Lepisosteus oculatus: one gene and its partners. The protein of the gene in region 1 interacts with the protein of each later gene in a pairwise test. Links are inferred from orthologs where the notes say so. Each region holds a gene or a part of one and is shown in the gene's direction. Other genes may lie near its edges.

Region 1 (7,509 bases):
ATACCATATATCATCACATAACTTGACAATCTTCACACTAGTTATGTTAGCATCTAATGGAATGATGAGTCTGTATCTATCTCTGTGGATAAACTAAGAAACATCAATTCACAAAAAGCGGATTAACTAAATATTGAAAATGCTTTTTTCACTCCAATGCAATATTTAAATAATCTATACAAGGGCACTAAAACCAGTTCTGGGACTATGACGTGTTAATTTAACTTCTTATCAGTTATCTCACATTCCTCTCCTTATGTGTAATATCAAGGACTCGGCAATCTGCAGTGAGGCTATTGGCTATTTAAAGAACGCCATCATTAGCTTATCCTGTTGAGAATGTTTTGCAATGTCCTGGCATCTTCATTAATATAAAGAAATAACATGCAGCATGTCCTATAGCAAATCTACCCAAAAGTCTTATTTTCAAGTCCTATGAAAGCTAACACTATCTTAATACATCAAGTAATCTAATTCAAGGTTCTTGATAGAACTGAACACTTTGCAGACTTGTTAGTTGCATTTTCAGCATTTTAAAAGTTGTCTGAATACATATGAAAACTGGGAAACACAATAAAACACATGAGTACCCTCATCATATTACGATGGTCTGAAGTCAACTTCACTGCATGTTCAGAGGGAACCCAGTCAATGCACTGCAGCAGAAAGTGTAATATCTGTATTTACTAATCAGACTGGGATGTGCAAACATGAAAGTTCTTTCTTCTAAGTGTGACCTGGAATGTTAGCACTCACATCTGGCTTTCTTTAATATGTTATTGTACTTGCAATCAAAGCTAAAATACTTTTCCAGGAAGTTACTCTTAAGATTCTATTGTTATAAAATACTCCTTTTAATTAAATCAATATAAATGCATGTGAGGAAGCTTATAAAAATAATAACAGCTTCAAACACTACAGTGTCCCAGATTGTGGATGAAAAAAAAAATTTTTCAATATCTCAGTTTGAGGACAGCACAGTGGTACAATGGTTAGGTTTGCTACCTCACAATGCTAACCGCTGGGGACCCGGATTCAATTCCTGGGGGTACTAACTACATGGAGTTTATAACACATGTTCTTGCATGGGTTTCCACTTTGTGCTCCGGTTTCCTCCCACAGTCCAAAGACATACTGGTACAGTAGGTCTACTGGCTTCTGTAAAATTGGCCCTGCTCTGAGTGTGTGTGCCCTGAAATGGAGCCATCCAGGTGAACAGTATCTCACCTTGTGCCAGTTGCTTGCCAGGGTAACTTCCAGCTCTCCCTACAACCATGTTCATCTTAAATGGATGAGAAAATGGAAGGATGGATCTCAGTTTGAAAAACTTAAATTCAGATTCTTTGTAAGGACCTCGGGGTGCTCACTTGTAACTCACACAGCAAAAGCACAGAATATGAAGAGGTCTTCCTATATCTTTTCTATTCTGCATGCCTTTTCTCCTCTAATATTTACTAAAAATCGCATGTTTCATCGTGTGAGCACGTGCTAATACAAACAACATCCGTATGTAATATCTGCCCCCACTGACCCTGGATAACAGCATGTCCTGTGGCGTCAGTCACACACCCCAGCAGTTTGCCAGCTCATGTACTGACATGGTGAACAGGATGAATCTCTCCGTGTATTAGCAATACTGTTGTTTAAATAGTGTGTTGCCAAGGTGACACGAGGTTCAAGGCTTCTTAGATCTTACTATAAAAAATACCATACATAAAGCCTTCTACAGCACCTACAGTGCTCTTGGTTCTTCATTCCTTCAATATTTAAAAACCCAAAGCTGGAACCTTGAATAGAAACAAATTTGTCAGTTTCTCCATATCAGTCAATTTGTTTAGATGAGAAAAGCTAGAAAATGCTTTCTTAACTCTCCACTTAGTTACTGTGTGTCTGTGTGTGTACAAAGTGGTCTCCCCTTCACATTATAAGGGTGCTTTTTACGATTGGTCTCTTTAATAACGAGTAAGCAAACACAGTTTAATCCACAGTACAGTTTGTGCTAACAGTGTCATACGTTCATTTTGATGAAACAGCTGGACATATGTTGAATGAATAATACGAAAAAGGTAATTGATACAGATGTTGCTGTTACAGTTCTTCATTGAAGTTCGTGAAATACGCTGACCAGAATTGCTGCTAAATTAATACATCGAGGAATTTCTCAGAGCACCTCTTTGCCGACAGGTGTGTCAGTAACAACTAACAAATTGTTAGGCGGTCAAATGTTTTTTGAGCAATATATAGAATTACATATATAGAATAATTCACTGAATTGTTGGTTAACAGTTAACATGCACTCAGCAGTGGGAAAAAAATACATTTTCTGCTACAATTGCTATACTGTCTGTAAGTCTTTTCCACATCTGGTGAAAAGACGATTAAAACGAATAGGGAATTGTCTGTAACCTACAAGTACTCATATCTATATGAGGATTTTTCATTCAAACAGGTGTAACAAATTAACACGGGTAAAAATAGCCGCACGCCATTAAAAATGTATTTCTTGATACTGTAGTTCCGTGAAACCTGACGAGCAAACTATGATAAAAACTCACTCATACACCCACTTCGTAAACACGCGGGGAAACCATTTACCGTAAGTAGTTGTAGTTGAAAAAAATCGGATCAATTACTTAAAACGAATGCACATCTGTTATAACCACAAAGCAAATAGCCTTAATTGTATTATTAATTTATAATTGTATTGTATAGGTTTTGCATTCTATAAAAGTTTTAATTCTTTCAAATTCACAAACTTTTCATACAGAATACAGTGCAGGTTATCCGTATGTATGTAGTAGTACACGGGTGCGGATGGTACCCTTTAAAATTTAAAGGAACCGTGATTTCTCAAAAAGAGCCGAAGCAAAGGAGACAGAATTTTTTTTCAGAAATGTTCTACTAAGTAAAAATCAATAACGCATCAAACACATACTACTAATGATGTGAATAAAATTACGACGACAAAAACTCACTTTCTTTTACAAAAAATAAAATTTCTCATTCAAGTTTGCATTGAACTAGTCATTTACACCAATGTTAGTTTTTACAACTCGTGCGCGTAAAAACCATGGATGTTATTTTTTATGTTAAAAGTAGATTACTTTAGTCACGCAACAATACATTTAAAATTTTTTCGTACTCGCACCCCAACGTAACAGCTCTACAAAGGGATTTCTGCGTTTCCCCCCGTGGCTTCAACTTGATACGCAAGACCGAGGCTTTGTAAGGCCTACAAAATATTCCCTTCAAATAGCTCCATAGCCGCTATGGATGATGCACGGAAAAGCAAAAGAAAGTTTTCTTGTTAGAGAAACTTACCACTACCGCTGTAACTGGCTGTCCTGGAATAAAAGACATTGTAAACCAAATACAATAAAAATCGCCTCACTCCGTAAAAAAGGCACAGCCCTCAGCCGAACAAGGGATAAATACAATTAAAGCACCACTTTCCTTATTCATGAGCAGACTTTGTGAATAATTCATGACTCGGCTCCAGGTTGGGCGTATAAAGATGAGGTAATGCTCCCTACTGTTGGTGTTGGAAATTAAGTCGATCGTCCCGATTTATACAGACTCTTAATAAAAAACTAAGCACTACCGTGAAACTTCACAGTAAAGTGCTGTTGATTTAACTGGAATTTAAACTGCAGTCTTGTTTATATTAATGGAAATGTCCTTGCAATTTTAAAGGACGCCAATGTATTAAAAAATCTTTGCTCAATTTCACAATTCTGGAAGATCCCTCCTCATGTTTATTTGGAGTTTGAAGTTACAAAATTGCACAAATAAACGTTTAGTGTTCAAACGGTACAAGGAATTAATGTATTCGTCAAGTTTTGTTAAGAAGCACGTTTATTTTTCTTATGCATTCAAAGTAATTCTGATGTTATTCAGCTGCAGACCTTTTAAATCCCTTCCTTCTGGGTCTCTTTTTCTTTTTATTTGTACAAGGTACATTAAAAAAACCTGCCCTCTGGCCCATCACGCACCCTAAGGATGTCACCCAGTTTATTGAACAGGGACAGCGCACAGCTCTTAAACAGCACTAGAGTTAGTTAAATGACATCTGTACATCTGGGATGGACACAACATGACACAAACACGATACAAGTATACAAGTACTGCTTGCTGTTGTGGACAAACGTCAGCACACCAGGTTGACGAGACCTGATGCACTGTCTGTAAAGACCATTTAGAGGCTGTAACGTGAGACAGGGGTGAGTGCGAGGTAGGAACATCACGCTGGGGAGCACTTGGCGTTGATATGAGTCTGAATCATGCTGGACGCCAGCCCTAGTTCATTTTAAAGGGGCTTCTATTCAGATCAGAGAAATCGATGAAATGCTCCTATTATGATGGTGAACTAAAGGGGCGCGTGGCAAAGGATACCTGATCTCCCACTGTTTCAGGGCTCCTTTTGTTCCAGTATTTTCATATCTGAAATATCCAGAGGTCTTATAAAAGGCTGTTGGGTGGAACACTGCAATGGCACTGAGGCACGGGGAGTTTGCACAAGGATGGGGAACAAACAGACCATCTTTACAACACAGCAGCTAGATGCCTATCAGGTTGGTTCTAATTTATTGTCTCTCAGCGGGATGTTCTTTGAACTCTCATGATTATTCTTATTCAGGGCTGCACTTTGCAGATTGGAGCAACTTCTCTTTCTGTACACTTTACCTGTGAACCCACTTTCAAAGACACAATGTTCTACGGTGTGAATCTTTCAAATAAGTCGTGAGTGAGCACTTTCTGAAACCACTGTAAATATCTGTTTTGTGCCAACAGTTATTACTATCAGCAAAGTATAGCAACCTGCTCCACCCAGATGCAATACAATTGCATTGGATCTTTTTCTAACTGGGTTGTGAAGGCTGAGCATTTCATATAAGTTTAAAAACAAGCAGTAAGGATGACACCTGTCTTTCTGGGATTGATTATTTCTGTGCACTGCGCCTTTCACTTTTGAATGGACCTGCTTGTATTAGCAAGGGATGTGTGGAGTGTGGAGTAGCAGTCCTCATTTCTAAATTACAAAGCTGTATGTTCTAGCCAGCAATCCCTCCATTTGTAAATGCCAGTGGTTTGAAAGGAAAGTTTGCAGCCTCGGTTAAAGAATTGACTGCTCATTCGAAGTAAATGGCCATTCTTGTTCACCACAGTCCGAAGGGTTAGCGCCAGTGTCAAGCAAGGCCGGATTATGGCAGGGTCTTTGTTCCATTAACAAAGAGGGTTGCTGAAGAGGAAATATGATTAATTTCTTCCTCTGTTAGCTCTGCAGCATGACTGTGCCGAAAGGCTGCTGGTACATATTCATCCAGCATTATTTACTGATGAGCTGGTTTGGTATCAGTCCAGAGAAGAGCAACTAGATACATTTTGGGTCTTAAGGAGATGTTGTACACTGACAAGCTGAAAGAACTGAACCTCTTTAGTCTTAAACAGAGAAGAGTATGAGGTGACCTGATACAAGTATTCAAAATTCTGACAAAGATAACCCAGCAGAGTTCTTCAGAACAACATTATTCGGGAAATTCTGGCTTATTTCAAGGAATGGCAGGATGATATAAATTAACTGTTAATTAAATGTTCTTGAATAGCGTTCTGTAAGTAACTGTTTTTATGTTATTATGTAGAAAGGTAATAAGAAATAAACAACTTTTCATCCGTTGAGTCTTCAAGTGTCTTGTATTGTGGTTTTGCCTTATAATGGAGATGTAATAAAAAATGCTAATGTCACATACATGAAGCATGCGTATCACATAAGTGAAGTTATGCCAATATGATGAACAGACAAGCATTCTCTATAGTTCAAATAGTTTTTATCTTTGTTGTTTTTCTAGGACTGTACATTTTTCACCAGAAAAGAAATCCTGAGGTAAGAAAAATGGCTCACCTTTGATAATAAACAAGGTTAATGAAGTAAATCCTTTTTGTTCATGTGGAATGTGACACAGCGAAGTTGTGAGGCATTTCTGTTAAGAGAACAAAATACAGAAAAAAACATTTTGCAATTTCATTGAGAGAAAAAAATAAACTCTTTCAAAATCTTTGTTCAAAACAACCACAAGGACAAATTTTATTTGAACATAGTTTATATTTACCTTTCAGTAAAAGAAAGACAATGAAATATAGTCTGTCTGTCAATTCAGGAGCTAAAGACATTAGGTTGAACCATTGACCTGCATGCAGAACATTATTTTAAATTAATTTCTTTTACATTAGAATCCTTTGCACAAAGTTGATTTAGCTCATCAGTAAAAATTCAGTTCTCTGGGTTTGATGTTCAATGACATTTGCAGAATTAAATGGATTTTGATTGTCGTCCTAAATCCTGAACAGAACTGAATGGCTTCCAAGCCGTTCTTCTAAATATAGTGCTTGTGTAGTCCATTTAGTTTAGACTAAATGGTGTCCTGCCCAAATTTCCCCCTGGCCCTTACCAATCATGGCCTCCTAATAATCCCCATTTCTGAACTGGCTTCATCACTCTGCTCTCCTCCCCACTGAGAGCTGATGGGTGTTGAGAGTACTGGCGCACTTTGGCTGCCATCACATCATCCGGGTGGGGGCTACACACTGGGGGTGATGGAGGGGACTCCCCATTACCTGTAAGGTGCTTTGAGTGGAGTGTCTAGACAGGCACTATGTAAGTCTAAGGATATTATGATTATGATGTATCCTTGTGTCATGTACTAATGTCCCTAGGCTGTTTCATCGCTACCGGGACCTGGCACCACAGCTTGTTCCACTCGACTACACCAGCAACCCAGATGTCAAGATACCATACGAGCTGATTGGCAGCATGCCAGAGTTGAAGGTACGCCCACCGATTGTGCTGGTGAAGGATGTCCATGCCATGCTCCTGGGGACACAATCAATTATTCATCGCCTACTAATTGACAGGAGCCTTGGAGAGGTTATGAGTAACTTGATCCCTGTACACCTGAAGAAAGTTATATTGCACAGCTTGTGCTCCTGGCAATAGCAGCTATTGTCTGGCACTTCACACACAGTACAGGGCTGCTCTTGTGGGCATTTGCACCGTGGAAAAGATCAGCATTATTAGTGAGCAAATACACCCTTAATCATCTGCCAAAATCCCTTTGCAGATAGAGAAACGTTTGCAAAAATATTAGACCAATAGTTTGCTAAAAACATTTTTGGTAGAACCTGTAATAGATAAGTTGTGTGCAGGTGAGCATGGGAGGTATGCTTTGTCTCTGTTGTTCTGGTAAAAGCAAACAAAACTAATCAATACATTTCTCTACAGGACTGGTCATTAAAAAAGGATGTGCAGTACTTCAGATGGTTGTGAGTGATTCAGGGTGGTAGTTAATTAAACAGATGTCTTTTTTGCAAATTGCAGGACAACCCTTTCCGCCAGAGAATAGCTGAGGTTTTCTCTGAAGACGGAGAGGGAAATATGACCCTAGATGACTTCCTGGACATGTTCTCTGTACTGAGTGAAATGGCACCAAGGGATCTGAAAGCATATTATGCTTT
Region 2 (7,510 bases), on another chromosome or scaffold:
AAATGTCCTTCATCCGGCAGCACACCCATTATCAGAAAGATCCTTATTCCTGGTTAGGTTAACCTCCACCCTGGGGAGACACCAGTACACTAAAGGGCACACAAACAAGCACAAAGGTACAATTTAGAGGCACCAATTAACATGGCCAGCATGTCTATCAAAGGTGAGAAGAAACCAGACCACCTACAGAAACCCACATGAAAACCTGGGGAGGACACGAAGACATCACACAGAGGGCACTAAAGTCTGGAATCACACCAACCTAAACTCTGTTAATGTAATTCTGCATTGAAGTTTATTTATAGTTGATGCAAATCATTATGTGCGGTGCTGTTAAACACAATCTAAATGAGAACTGTTCTAACAAAAATAAATATGAGCTGTGACTCTTCACGTCTGCTTTGGTCTCACATCACACAGACACTGATAATTTAGAAATAACCAGCTGAAGATTTTAGGTGTTTGGGAAACATAGAAAAGGATAATAGCAGCATTAATTAAAGTATAACGAATCACTTTGCTTAGAAGAGAGGCATGAAGCTCAGAAGCTGTCATCTCCTAACATTTAGATGGCTAGTATCTTTCTGCTGACAGACAACACTCCTCATTTCCAGAAGTGTTTATCCTTATCATAGAGAAAACAGCAACCCCTCTCCGAGTAAAACCTTATCAGAGCCTCTTTTAGTATGAGAGGTGTCTGTGTTAAGATTATCTCTTTTTCCCCAAATTTAGCATGAATTTTCCAGGCTTGTTCTTAACTGTAGCTTGCCAAATGTGATCTTTGTAATGCAAATGTGTTCTTAATTTCTTGTTCTCAATTAAAACACTCAAGATTATTCCAATGAATCACCTATCTTGCTTCTTTCAGTGGGGATTAAAATTGTTTTCAAGTGTACAACTAGATTAAGCCAGCAGCATTCTACACCAAGCACATGTCTCTTTCAAAGCAGGGAAGAGTATTCCTGTACTGGGTATGATGTGATTCTTTTTCATGGATTCTTCTTCGGAACAGATAAAAAGGCAGAAACCTAAAAGACCATAGGATTATAAAGCACTCAGAAGTTCATAGTCAGCATTTTGACCTTTCTTTCAATATCACATAACCCTGTGTAATAGCTTTACTGCTGTAAAATAATTTTCTGGCAAATTTATAACATGACCCCAAAACTCTAACAGCATTTAGAGTTACTTTAAATTGTTAAGGGAATACATTTAAATATTTGACACTATAGTAAATTTGCATGATTATCTTTGTACTGGAAGTAGCAACTGGATATCATATCTGAAGTATGTCATAACAAAGCAGACATTTTGAGCCAAATCATATAATCTAATTACATCTAGACTCTCCAAGTTGTCAGTTAGCAGTATCAGTATACTTAGCATCAGTCTCCTGGGATTTGGGACCATGACAACAACAAGAAAATCTCTCTCCGAATGTTCGGTGCAGAACACTGTCACTATTATGACCAGAGGGACAGAAGACACAGGAGATTAGTGTTGTGTGCTTTTCCCTGTGGAGCCTTGCATTCATAGTTGAGTTGTGTAGCGGTAAAGTAGCTTATTAGCCTTAGGAGGCCAAAAGGCTTTATCTTTAAATGCAAAATTAGGTAGTGAAACCAAAAAAAAAAGGATGCTTAGAGCTCCTGTAATGCTCCTGAACAATTACTCCTGGGGAAGTGTTTGCCATCTTTTCTGTTCTTTCTATTGGCGAGCTAAAAGAAAGCTAACCCCTTTCTAGTTAGTTGCAAGTTTTGTACGTTTGTTAGGGATAAACACACTACCTAATAAAATCTACAGTTTATCAGGATTTATAGATAACTTTCTATTAACAACTTTTTAATTTGAACTCTTAGTTCTTCAGATAGTTTGCATTTCAGTTAAGTGATTGAGTGTGAATGTAGATAAAAAACCTCAAGATCTACAGCTGTTTGATTTTGTTTTACTTTTTCAAATACCACCAGAGAAAAGCATAATCATGACTTTGAATGCTGGCTTGGCAGTCTACAACCATTTGTTTCTGGGTTAAGTTGATAGTGTAGTGTATAAACTACAGTATATCCCAAACCATATCTAGAATTTAAAGATCAGTCTCAAAATAAAGCCGGATAAGGAGTCTGAGTATATACTATACGTGCTCTGCTTCAGTCACTGAAGAGCTGCAGGTTTCCATAATACTGGTAGCCTGTAACACATTTCAAATTTCAAACATAGGACATGTTTTAAATATTTAGTACAGTAGTAAGGTATTTTTTATATTCTGGTATTTTCATTATTTTTATTCCTTCTTTTTCATCTTCTTTTCATTAATCTGTAAAGTGTCTGGAGGCAAAACTCCTCCATTACATATTAATGCGCTACTTACTGTATGTCAAGTACCAATTTGTTTCTTTCAGTACTCTCACTGCATATAGCTGGATTTTGGTTTCATAGTTGGGAGATGTTTTGGATTCAGAAAAGCACATCCGAACCCTCAAAACTCTTTGTATACTTTATGTCACTATCAGACAATTCTCACATTAAACAGGAATGCAAATAACGTTTCATCTGAAAGGGCTTTCATCCAGTCTGATGCATAATGTATAGTTACCATAGCAACAGTCTCCCTGAGGAAAGAAATGGTTGCCCATGGTTCCCCTGGAAACCAATGCCATGCTGAGAAGCAGATGCATGCAGGGAAGTGGGTGGAATTAAAATGAGTGCAAAGTTTTCTAGGTTTATAGTTCATGCCTAAGGTCATAGAATAAATAACAACTTCAGCTTTTTCGGTGGTGAATGACATTTAAACCTGGGCTTGAGTAATTTATTGTGCTCTTGCTTCACAAAAAAAAGTACATACAAATCTGAAAATATTAGTAAGTTCATTTGTAAACTGTTTGATTTACAGTATTACCAAACTAATAACACAGTATTTGCAAAATAAATACAAGTTTCTTGTTCAAAGCTGTTTTTATCATTATTTCTAAGGTGCTCAAGGATTGTTTTGAATTTCAGCTCACACTAATGCAGTGAAACCACAAATGGGGGTTTTGTAAAGCTTTTTCTTCACAAATGAATTTGCTCTTGTATGGATGTGAAGCTAGCAGTTTGGGAATTAGAAGTGTTTGAAGAACAAAGGAAATCAGAAATAAAACAGTTTTCACTTCAACTTGGCTTTGGAATTTTAAATGCACGGCATTCAGAGGAAGAGAAGCATGGGAGAGGGAGAGGGAACACGTTTTGTACTGCAGTAAAATGCTTTGACAGCTGTCCTGAAAACATTTACAAAGACCTGGAATACAGCATTAGGAATGGATGATCTCAACTTGTCCCTTAAGAACATAAGAGAGATTACAAAAAAGAGGAGGGCACATAGCTCATCTACCTTATTTAACAAAAACAAAGTGGCATACTGGTCATTTACATGGAAATGCTTCTCAGGCAACACATCAGATACAGCAAATAAGGTCACATATGTTACTGGCCAATAGAGCTGCAAAAAAGTTTGTACACCGAGCTGCATGTCTCAGGATTTAGAATTCATCATCTGACAAATAATGTCCAATGAGCTCACGAGGCAGCATCTGATATTCTCTTGCTGGATACCTGATGAAAAACATTGACCTTGAGAATTCAAAAGTAGGAGCCAATATTTCTTATTGTGGATGACTAGCCTGAGATACTTCATGCCAGCTATTTACATTATTAACTGATCTTCTTTATTCACAAAGAAAGAAATGTAAGAGCTGTTTTCAATCCTCCTTCAATATTCCAGACTGCTTTCTGAATAACAGCAGATCCATTAACAGAAAATTAAAAGAAATTCTAGTCACTTCTCTTCTGCTGAATTAAAAAATGTGTGTTTCAGCAAATCTGTAGGATAGTTAATTGCCTGAAATGGGACAGGCCAACAGAGACTTTGAATAGAGGCCACAGTTTATGAGAGGGCAAACCTGAATTATTTTCAATATATCTTCGTATATCCATCTGCGTTTTCAATTAATCATCAAGTTTCTTCATTTGATAATGATATATTTGACAGCTTATAATGTAAATTAGACTTTTCTGAAAAGCTTTAGTACCATAGGTAAGTCATTATACGTTATGTGCAATAATGTAATGTTTATTTTATATTCATAAAAATATCATTGTTTCGTTTATTTATCCAATAAATCTGGATTTGAATAAAATACACATCATATTTTATTTGGATGTATTAAGGAGTTTTCACGGAATCACTGAAATTTCAGTATAACTTTTCTGCTATTTCAGTCCAGCGTAATGAAGGTCCGTCCAGAATTAAGTAAATTATTTTTACATCAACACCGCCAACAACGAATAACTAGACGTTCATAGTAAGAATGGACACTATTATCACAGGCATTTTAAAAGTGTTCTTTTCGTCCCGTCACTACAAACTCCTCCTTCTTTGATTTAAGATCCCTGAATCTGCAGTGAAACCTGGCTGCTGCATTCCATACATACAGTATGGGATTAAGTAGGCAATAGGGGTGAGCTCTCCATTCATTCTCAATTCACAAGTGTTAAGGCGAAGAGGATTTTTTCTCTACCTTTGTTGAGGGTGACAGAATACATTCGTGAACGTGAGTACGCCTAGCTTCTCGTTTCCTTCGATTTCCCAGTCATAGTACATTATAAGCAGAGCACTTGCGCGTTTGTCTTCACTTTGACCAGTCAGTAAGCAATAAGGGTGCCTTAGGAGGAACAGTCGTGTGTTTCGGTCGAATGGTTGTTGTATTTATGGAAGCACTCGGAAAGCTTTTTTTTTAAGTGTCATCAAAGTAATAATCGCTACTGTCCTATCACTGCATGACAAGTGAGAACAAGGAATCTGTGCAACAGAATCTGGCTTTTCGCTGTTCGACATGCTTCTGCACTCAAGGGCTAAAGGTAGGGCTAGTCATCTCTGCTCCCCCATCGTAAGGTTTATAATTTATTTGCCAATATTTATTTAACGGCGCGTATTTTGTTCGTTGTTTTCAGTTCATGGATAGTATGAACGTGGACTATGCTGTGCTTTGTTGTTTCCTCAGAGGATGCAAAGCTTTTAGCAAAGTCTTGACAACAATCGGAGCTTTTGTGTCGACTCGTATCAGCATCGTTGCATTAAAAGAAACTGTTTTACTGTGGATTTCTGGTCGGTTTCTCTGAGGTACAGCAAGTTTTTAAAAGTTACATACAGGTATGATCGCTATCACAAATAGCGCTGTCACCACTTTCCGAATTGCATCTCTTGTGATTTTCAAGCCAACTCTGTTGATTGGTGGTGCAATACAAACTATTCATGTAAAGAAACAAGTAATAGGTTTATTCCATGCTGAAAAAAAGAAGATGAAAGAAAACAACGTTTCGGCTGTGGAGCCTTCTTCGGGTTTAAGGGCTGTGGAAGAAGTGTCTTACAGCCGAAACATTGTGTTTTTTTCTTCTTTTATTCAGCATGGAATAAACCTATATTCTAATATTCTAACAGTTTTGATGTGTGTGTGTAATAACGATATTTTGCACTTAGAATTTCGTATGATTAATATATATATACAGTTCACACGTATATTGCGCTTCAGTGTAGATTTTCGAAGATTTCTGCTGAGGATTTGTTTCTCTTCATTGATTTCTGTTTGGTCACAAATGCTCCAGTTCATTGATATTTAAGGTCACTGTGTACTAAAATTAGATAATCGACAAATCGAACTCTCTTTTGTGGGTTGCTGTTACGGATAGGGCAGTATTAAAGGCTGCTGCTTTATAAAATATCTTTTTTAATTTAAGGCGGAATGGAGTAAATTGCATCTCATAATGGCATTCAGGTTTCATACGCTGTGGGCTTTTCAAGTTATTGTTTTGTACATCATGTATGTAAAATGATGTAACCAATTAGTTAAATTATAGGGCAGATAGTAGAAACCACGTAACCAAAAATAATGTGTTAACATACCCTGAAAGATCCACAATGAAGCTTTTCATTTGAAAAATAGCAATGCTATCAGTGCTTACATTATTTAATGATAGTGAAGGAGGACTGTTACATACTGTACCTTGTGATACTCGAGAACATGTGAGGTACAGTATAGGAAAAAAGTCAGGCTAAAATTAGTTTACCATTGATTACCAATCATATGAGAGCTGTATGTCTTTCTAGACATTTTTTTGAGTTCATTTTTTTATTGTGTCAATTAAACCTGAAGACAAGGAATGGGAATGTTTGTGTTATTCTGTAGATCTGTTTTCTGTTTTATGTTGTTTTTATTTCATTTCCTGTTTAAAAGATGGCAACTGAAAAGCTAAAGGCACATACAATACAAAATTAATAAAGAAATTAGCATAACATGTTTACTGATTTATATTTTATTATTGTCTGTAAAAGTAGCTTCATTGTAATAATACATTTAGAATCTTCTTCAGACATGTATAGTAATTACAATGAGTGTCAGCACAAAATGGATATTGATTAAATGATTTTGGTGTCATTTCGATGAATAGATCTTTCATGACTGACTGTGACGCACTTGAGTGACTGACTCTTGCATAAGCCATACAGTAAGTGAGAGAGTTGATTGGACACCAATCACTGACAGTGTCACGGAATAGCTCTGCAATCCATCTTGGGTTTGTGATAAGACCCTATGCGAGCAGTAGAGTCTGGAGGAAAGGAAGACGTGCTATGGTGAAAACAAACAAGGGTTTATTCGTGCAGCAGGGTATCGGGAGAAAAGACACAGGTATCCAAATCCAAACGGGTCCATAGGAGAGTCAGGGCACAGTCGAGGGGTCCGAATCCGAGAAATCCATCCAGTGACGACTCTAAGTTAAAATCCCTGGGAAGGGGAAACACAGACATGACAAGACCTCGGAGGACCTCGCTCCGGGCTCAGGAAACAGGAAATGTGGGGGATGAGGCCTGTGCCTTCAGGCCACGGACGTGGGACGACCTGGTGCTAGGCGGGCCTCGTGACATCCATATGCTAATGCTGAGCCCTGAGCATTGGAGGCACTAGGATTAAATAGAGAGACAAACAAGACACACCGGGAGGACATAAACAATCACAAGGAGCTAGGGACAAGAGAGCAGTGGAGGGCCCTCTAGGGGAGGGATGTCAACCGTGACAGACAGTCTGCCAATGATGAGCCATGACCTGAGGGGTCACAAATACATAACCACACTGTATATTTGTGATCGTTTTCATACGGCACAATCCACTGTCTCAGAGTTGCCAGGGCGCGACAAGTGATTAATGGGAACTTGATTGCACGGAGTACAGTACATTGAAGTTCTAGGACCTCACTTGATGCTGTTCCTGTTGGCATATCCTGACATGACCTCATGCCAGCAGGACAACACTTATCCTCGTGCTGCTTATTTAATAATGGCTCACTTGCAAGATGAGAATATGATAGTTATGTTTATGGGTATGATATGTAGTATGAAGGGCTCATTGACCCATGAGGAGGACATGCTTGTGCAGGCTCTACAAGACTAATGGAACAGAATTTCACAAGATAGGATTTGCAAACT
Region 3 (7,328 bases), on another chromosome or scaffold:
TAGCCGCAGGTTAACGGTCCCCCATTCCACATCCACACACAGCAACCTGCCAGCTATTACCCTCTGAATACTTTTCAATTTGAATGCCCATCCTTTGAAAAGAATGGCCACGCCAGAGGCTCTGTTGTTATTGTCCCCTGACCAAACAGAAGGCCCTTTATCCCACCTATCTTCAAAGCTTTTATACCTCTCTTGATAGGCTAAAGCACACTCCTGCAACATCAACACATCTCCCTCTCTCTGCTGGAGGTAATCAAAGACAGACTGGCATTTAACTCTGTCATTGATACCTCTGGTGTTAAGAGAAATTATGTTTAGAGCCATATTACATAAGAAAGTGGAACCAGTCTTTACAAAACACATTTCTCTTCTGTCTCACCTGTTACCTTCTTCTTTTTCTTCTTACCAATTTCCTGCCAGCCATCCTCTGAATGAGCCTTCATTAGGATGGTCTCCTCTTCCCCCTCACCCACCAGCTGCCGCAGATCCTTCGTGATGGACTGGATGGAGGAGAGGAGGGCATCTGTAGCACTTGCAGAGTCTGAGAAAAGCAGCTCCGCTGAATCCTGGGTATCCTCGCTGGACCCGCTCCACCGGGGGGCCCCACACTGGCCCTCGTTCTGAGGAGCAGGAGTGGGGGAGGGGTCCTCGCTGTTCTCGGGGGTTTTCAAACCCTCGTGCTTGTCTGGTGCAGTCTGCGGTTGTGGGGGCGTAGTGGATTTCTCTTCCACCAGCCCCGGAGCCACAGCAGGACTGATCCTGGCTGGAGGCTGAGAGTCTTTGTCCAACAAGGGTTCTTTGTTTGACTTGTTGTTTGCTTTGGCTTTTCGGGCCGGTTTGGCTGAAACAAGCACTGCCTCATCCTTTCTCATTTTGAGTTTATTGGCGTAGGCGTGAGGGCAGTTCTTAAAAACGTGTCCTTCCGAGCCACATAAATTGCACTTTGGCAGCATTGAACAGTCAGAGGCTAAATGTCCCTGTTTGCCACAGGTCTTGCAGCATTTCACAGTGCAGGACGATGCCAGATGTCCCACAGCACCACAGCGCCGACACACCTTTGGTTGTCCCACATAAAACACATAGCCATTGCAGGCGCCCAGCCGGATTGTAGAGGGCAGGTGCCTTAAGCGTCCATTTACGCTGTCCGGTAGCAAGCGAACTTCGAATTTCCCTGCTCCTGTTTTTATACCGTCAACATCTCTAACCTCAGTTCCATGGTGGACGGTGCAGTACTGGTTAAGCCAGGTGTGAATGTCCTCCGTCTTTGCCAGTTCCGAGAACATAACAACATGCACCGTTTTCCTCTCTCTCTGTGTCAGAGGCTGCAAGTTGATCTTCTCAAGTGCAGGAACTTTCCCTCTTTTTGCCTCAAACACATCCACGCATTGTTCAAACAGAGGATAGGTAGCAAATAGAACCTCAAATGCTTTCTGACCTGGGAGAGCGAAGATGAAATCCAAGTTCCGAGGTTCAAAGCCGAGCTCCTTCTGTAACACTTTTCTGCTGAACTGCACACGATCCATGAAGAGGTCATCCAAAAGCTCAAAACGTACAGCATTCTTGCGGGATCCAAAGGTTGCCATTTCAAAAACTGCAAAACAAACACTGCTCCCACAAAACAAGAAAACAATCCAACTACTCCACCTACAGGCTGATCAAGGTATCTCCCCTGCCATCTCAGTAGGACAATTGATTAGACGTTGATTAGATGCTGGTTAATGGTTCCCCAATCAACACACAGTCACCTGCCAAAACTTTTTTGCATACCTCAGCTTGCTCTCCATGAGACACAGACATGAGGAGAAGCTTGGGGTTAGATAGCAGGGTCAGCCATTGTACAGCACCCCTGGAGCAGCTGGGGCCCAATGGGGTAGGATTCCTCTGCCAGCCCCTGGATTTTACCTTCCAGCCACAGGTGCAGATCCTTAGCCACAATGTCACCACTCAATTCAAGAAGTTTTGTTGGCATGACCAATAAAAAAATCACTGTTGCCACATCATATATAATCAACATAAGATCTACAGACATTTACAATATAGAGACATCATAATACATTTACATACAAATATATGGAGCATTATTGAGGCCATCTACCACTCTCATCTATCACTCCTAGACTGGGAGAGCACGGATACATTTTGGAAACTGTGGTTCATACCCCGGCTCTCTTTGCTGTATTTGTCTGCTGAACTGCATGTTGTCCATAATAAGACAATCCAGGAGCTCAAAGCACAGTGCATTCCTATGACTTCCAACACCTTTCATTTTCTAAAGCTCTGGGGAAAAATACTACGGCTTGTTGCCAACAGCACCACAGAGAAAGGCACTTCTCCATCAGCTATGTGATCATGGTATCGACCCTCTCAGTGTACAATCATTACCTTTGACAATCTGTTTGCAAGGCAAGGTGTTGTCAGGTCCTGGTGTTCTTTTTATATACTTCTATTTTATTTATTCATACTCTGTCTTGTAACACTATCTCAAAGATGATCTAAAACGATGCCTGATGAGTAGATGAGCACACTGAATTTAACAATGATGTTTTTAGTAGAAGATGAAAGGGCACTTGTGTGCTGGCTTGGTATAACTCATTAATCAGTGGATCTCATCCAGCAGTGTTCCACCTGTCCTTTTAGTTTGTTCCATGCTGCTACCACTCTTTGTGCTTTTCTTTCACGTTAAATTTAATGGAGATCTCCTGAGCTCCCCTCTGTACTTTATTTTGTGTTTAAATGCTTCTGCTGAAGAAATGTATTGCAACAGGCCAAGGGCGGCTTTACATGTGTGAAATTCAGTGATTACACCTGAGAATTAAGTTCCGAATTCATCATCCCACTTAAAAAAAAAAACAGTTTTGAGAGTATGTCTGAGAGTAAAGCCCAGAGTTACATCTCCCTGTGATCAAATCCCTTTCCAGTAGTGATCTTAACTAGAAGTGATATAAATTGCTTATTTTTTCTCTAAGCCTAGTCCTAACTTAGTCCAACTTAGTTGGTTTGTTGGACACAGACAGTCCGAGCTCTGTGGATATTTGGATACTTCCTTAGGCACACGGATCAGCAATCTTCACCTGTGAATTCTAATGTATGGCATTGTTCCAAGTTAAATGAACCAGTGCCTGTACCAATCATGGCCTCCTAATAACCCCCATCTATGAACTGGCTTCATCTCTGTTCTCTTCCACAAGAGCTCCTGTGTGGTGAGTGTACTGTGAGTGCAGTATGGGCTGCTGTCGCATCATCCCATCAATCAGTCTGTATAAACCTATGCACATTTTGCACATATTTTATTGCTTTTACAGTGACTATGATCATCACATTTTGCACACACCTATGTATTTATTTTTTATTTTGTTGTCTTTTGTTTTATAACTATTCTTAAGTCTGTTTTTGCTTGTCTTAGGCTGGACTGCTGTAACACATCAATTTCCCTACGGGATTAATAAAGTATTATCTATCTATCATCCAGGTGGGGCTGCACACTGGTGGTGGAGGAGAGTCCCCATTACCTGTAAAGCACTTTGAGTGGAGTGTCCAGAAAAGCGCTATATAAGTATAAGGAATTATTATGATTTCCATTTTTAATATGTCCTGTTTAACAGAATATCGTTTAAAAAAAATTCACAAAAGGCACTAAAACTGAAACGAGAGTGACCACAAAATCCTTTGCCCACAATTTTGTTTGATGTGGTTCTAATCACGTTTTCCCGTTTTGTTTTAGGTTCTGCTGGTATCATTACAGTAGACCAGACACCCTCTGTTTTTTTTTTTTTGCCGGAGGAGAGGAAACTACCACTGCCAGTGTAAAAGTGTTACTGATCACAGAGACATGGAGATGTATCAGATGAAACCAGCCCTCGTTTTATAATTCGGCTTCACTTTTCCCGGGATGAAACTCGGTTTGGTGGCAGTAACACTAATGCTGACCACACATTCACGGAAAAAAAAAACTTTTAGCGCTGCTCAGGACACGTGCATCGTACATTTGCACTGTCGACATATATACACTTCTGTCAATCAATGGCACAACGAATTCAGAGACTGATTATATGTCATCAACAAGCTCAGAAAAACACAGCTTCCGCTGACACAATCCTCCTCTTTAACTAGTAACGCAGCGCTCGAGCTCGTCGTTTCTCCATCCTATTGGGTTATTCGGCAATCAATCATGGTGACGTACCCTTATCTCGCAGCTCCGTCTGTCCTCAGTCGCCATTGGCTGGTTTGTCTTAAAAAAACACCCATTTGCTGACGTGCTCCCTTTCCCGATTGGCTGCTGGCCTCGGTTTAAATTTAAAATGTACTGGGCGGTTTGCAGCGCTTGAACGTCAGGTACGGACTTGAGTGTGAAGAAAGCTGTTCGCGTTTGATGCTGTTTTACTCGTCGTTCGAGGTACGTATGAGTTTGTGCCGGGCTTTAGAAGTAATTGTTGCATGTTTCGGCGCTTTTTATTTTTGATGGAAATCGTCTCTGGGCAGACAGCGGGGTTACGGGGAGAATCGCAGCTTTCTTGGTAGTTGTGTTTTGGATTTTGCGCCTGTAAGGGAAAACGGAAAATTATCTGTCGGCCAGGTTTCACCGGGTAAGCCGCAGTACGTCTTCACTTTCGAGCTGCTTTATTCGTGATGGGACGGATGAATTGCGGCGTTGCTGTGATGCGGGTCAGCCGAAAGACAGTTCATGTGTGCGGGTGTGAGGCCGTGTTCACTCGCGGCTGCCTGCTTCAATGGCTGGATAAGTCATGATCGTGTCATTAAGTGTTGCTAAATCACTGAACGCAACGCCGAACTGCAGGCCTGTTTGTGACAATCAGACTTCTTGGAGGAAAGCTGTCACCTGGGTGAGTTTTTAGAAATTGCCAGTTACGTGTGAATCTCTCTTTAGTCTGTCGAAGCCCGTTTTTCAAGTTTAAGACGCGGTCTATCGCCTGAACCCACAGTACAGGCGATAACGTCTTTGTTGCTCATCTTTGCTAATGATCGATGAGGATGTAATAAAATCAGATGATCGCTGCATCCTTTCGGCTCAGTTCCGGGAAACGTGCATGGAACTTGCTTTCTTGTCCTCACATGTTTAAACGGGGCTGGGAGGTCCTCTCTATGCGGTGACGTAATCTTGCGAAGTACAGACTGTCGGTGAGAGAGAGATAATTCGTCTTTCTTTTTATGTCGTGAATGGGTTTTATGCCTGTGCTATTTGAATTCAACCACAGGTCCTAGAGTTGGACTTTTATCGTTTCTGGCTTCTGATAGCCCCTCCCGCAAGATAACATCTTTGTGTTTAAAATGGTAAATCTTCAGACACGATAGGGACACGTTCTTTGTCACCTACAATAAAAGAGCCAAGTGAAAAATCAGTGCTTTCCAGTATGGTCACATGGGCTGTATCTCAAGGTTTCTGGAACATGTCATTCCGCCCCTGCTTGGGAGTCTTGTTTTTTGTTCTGGTCTTGTGATGACACTGCCATAATGAAATTCATTGTTTTGGTTGGACTACAGGACTGGAAGCTGCTGTGTTTCAGCCTGTGTTGCTGTGTGTGGCCAGTGGTTTTATAGTCATGGAATGCACTGTTTCCTAAACATCAGTAAATAAGTTGAGCATTTACACAATGTTTAGTACATACTAGATTAGTTCTGCAGTGGTTGCCTTCAAAGAGGTTTAAGGATTTATATCTTTTCACAAGAAATCTGGGAAACTGTTTTTTGCTCTGTCACACATTTAGTGAGGTCAAACTGCATGTGATTCTTTTTTAAAAAATCCCAAATTCTTAATTCAGTATGGAAAATGACACCCGGCACTCTACTCCTGACTTGTATGTAGTTTTTGTTTTAAAATTCAAACATATACTGTACATAATCCAGTTAATGAGGGCTGAAAGCAATGAGTGGACCGAATCATGTCCACTGTGTAGTAACTAAAGGTACAGTGAATTTGTGCTGAAGGTGAGTGATATAGTGGATATGAAGTGGTATTGACAGTGGAGTCATGCTGAGTGTGCTTTTCCAAATTGGTCTCCACTGTTATCTGCCAGCCCAGCTGTGGAGCTGGCACTCTGGGCGTGGCCTGTCACTCACACTGGCTGTCTGCTCGCAGGATGAGTGTGGTTGCCGTGAACGATGAAAACTTTGGCGTGGATCCTGCACGAAGCTGCATCAGTTTGGAGACTTGCGATATCCTGCAGCCCACAGGAAGACCCTCCATCTTGCGCCAGTCCCAAAAGGAAAACATGCCTCCTAAAAGCTTGGCAAAGGGAGTGAAGGTATAGAACTTCTGAACTGTGTAAAACGCAATCCTCTTTCCAAATGAGCTCCGTTGGATCTTTTTAATTAAGCCCTTGAACACCTGTGTTGGAGAAGATGGGTACAGTTGCCACGTCTCCCTTTTGTTTCAGGTCTGTTTTCAGACGCCCTTGCGAGACCCCGTGACGCGCAAGATTGTCTCGTCAAACAAGGGAAGCCAGGTGGAGCGTGCTGATGGTCTGGATGACTGCACCAAGGCTATGGAAACTCTTTCCCTGGAAAACCACCCTGCTGCCATCACAGGGTGAGCTGCTGATGTGGGTTTGCGTTTGGTAGAACAGGAATCCACCAGTATTCTTACTCTTTATACCTGCTGCCACTGTTCTTTTTTCTGTGCTTCCTGAGGGGAGAGGAAGGGATAGGCAAAGGTGTTCTTGCCCAAGAGCTGTGCCCTAGAGTACTGTGTATGAGAGGTCACAAAGGAAGAGTCTGGCAAATGTTGAGTTTACCTGGACTTTTTGTGACCAAGCCTACTGAAATAGGACACTCTTTTGAGCTCTCAATACTTATTTTAGAGTGACTACAACTTCTACAGTCTTAATTCTTCATTTTACTGTGCTTTTTAGGTTTATTTTCTGAGCAAAGATTTTGGGACCAGGAGTCCTTTCCCTTTTGCCTTACTTTGCAGGAGTCTCCTGCTTGTTTTGAAGTCTGAAATATTTTGCAGAAAAATTACAAAGTCAGCATTGCATCTTACTTCTTGGGTAAAATTGTAATGTTGTATGTTTTAAACCACTTTAATTTCAAGGTCTTTCAAGGTTAAGACTTTACATGTTTGGATATGCCTATTTAACTGCATGACATTTAGGTCAGTGTTCTTGAATGTCAATACCTTAATACCTTTATATACCAGAAGTGGTGAATTTGACCTATTAGCATTTTAATGATTTTTTAAGACCAGTTGCTAGGCTTATCCATCTGGCTGTAACAAAAGGAGAACTGATGATTGTGGCAGAGGAGGAGCTGAGGAAAGGCCAGGATTTGTTGTGAGCATTTTGCTTGAGGAAGCAACAGTGTGTGTTTAGAAG

The links.
Region 2: the proteins of calcium and integrin-binding family member 3 (region 1) and trim2a interact in binary tests that used the Homo sapiens proteins (3 or more experiments, as listed by UniProt). The two-hybrid records come from large-scale screens. The link is inferred for Lepisosteus oculatus from reciprocal best matches to the Homo sapiens genes CIB3 and TRIM2.
Region 3: the proteins of calcium and integrin-binding family member 3 (region 1) and tacc3 interact in binary tests that used the Homo sapiens proteins (3 or more experiments, as listed by UniProt). The two-hybrid records come from large-scale screens. The link is inferred for Lepisosteus oculatus from reciprocal best matches to the Homo sapiens genes CIB3 and TACC3.

The regions. Positions count from the first base shown.
Region 1 is NC_090724.1:5,142,778-5,150,286, forward strand, and holds the start of calcium and integrin-binding family member 3, read left to right. Parts: upstream 1-4,437; 5' UTR 4,438-4,520; coding exon 4,521-4,571; intron 4,572-5,846; coding exon 5,847-5,881; intron 5,882-6,711; coding exon 6,712-6,823; intron 6,824-7,372; coding exon 7,373-7,509. Other genes in the region: tax1bp3 (tax1-binding protein 3), read right to left, coding at 3,322-3,360. UniProt on the Homo sapiens protein: Acts a an auxiliary subunit of the sensory mechanoelectrical transduction (MET) channel in hair cells. Plays a role in regulating hair cell MET channel localization and function.
Region 2 is NC_090696.1:24,973,174-24,980,683, reverse strand, and holds the start of trim2a (tripartite motif-containing protein 2), read left to right. Parts: upstream 1-4,466; 5' UTR 4,467-4,583; intron 4,584-4,700; exon of another isoform or gene 4,701-4,890; intron 4,891-7,510. UniProt on the Homo sapiens protein: UBE2D1-dependent E3 ubiquitin-protein ligase that mediates the ubiquitination of NEFL and of phosphorylated BCL2L11. Plays a neuroprotective function. May play a role in neuronal rapid ischemic tolerance.
Region 3 is NC_090696.1:5,719,546-5,726,873, forward strand, and holds the start of tacc3 (transforming acidic coiled-coil-containing protein 3), read left to right. Parts: upstream 1-4,284; 5' UTR 4,285-4,393; intron 4,394-6,094; 5' UTR 6,095-6,095; coding exon 6,096-6,260; intron 6,261-6,392; coding exon 6,393-6,544; intron 6,545-7,328. UniProt on the Homo sapiens protein: Plays a role in the microtubule-dependent coupling of the nucleus and the centrosome. Involved in the processes that regulate centrosome-mediated interkinetic nuclear migration (INM) of neural progenitors.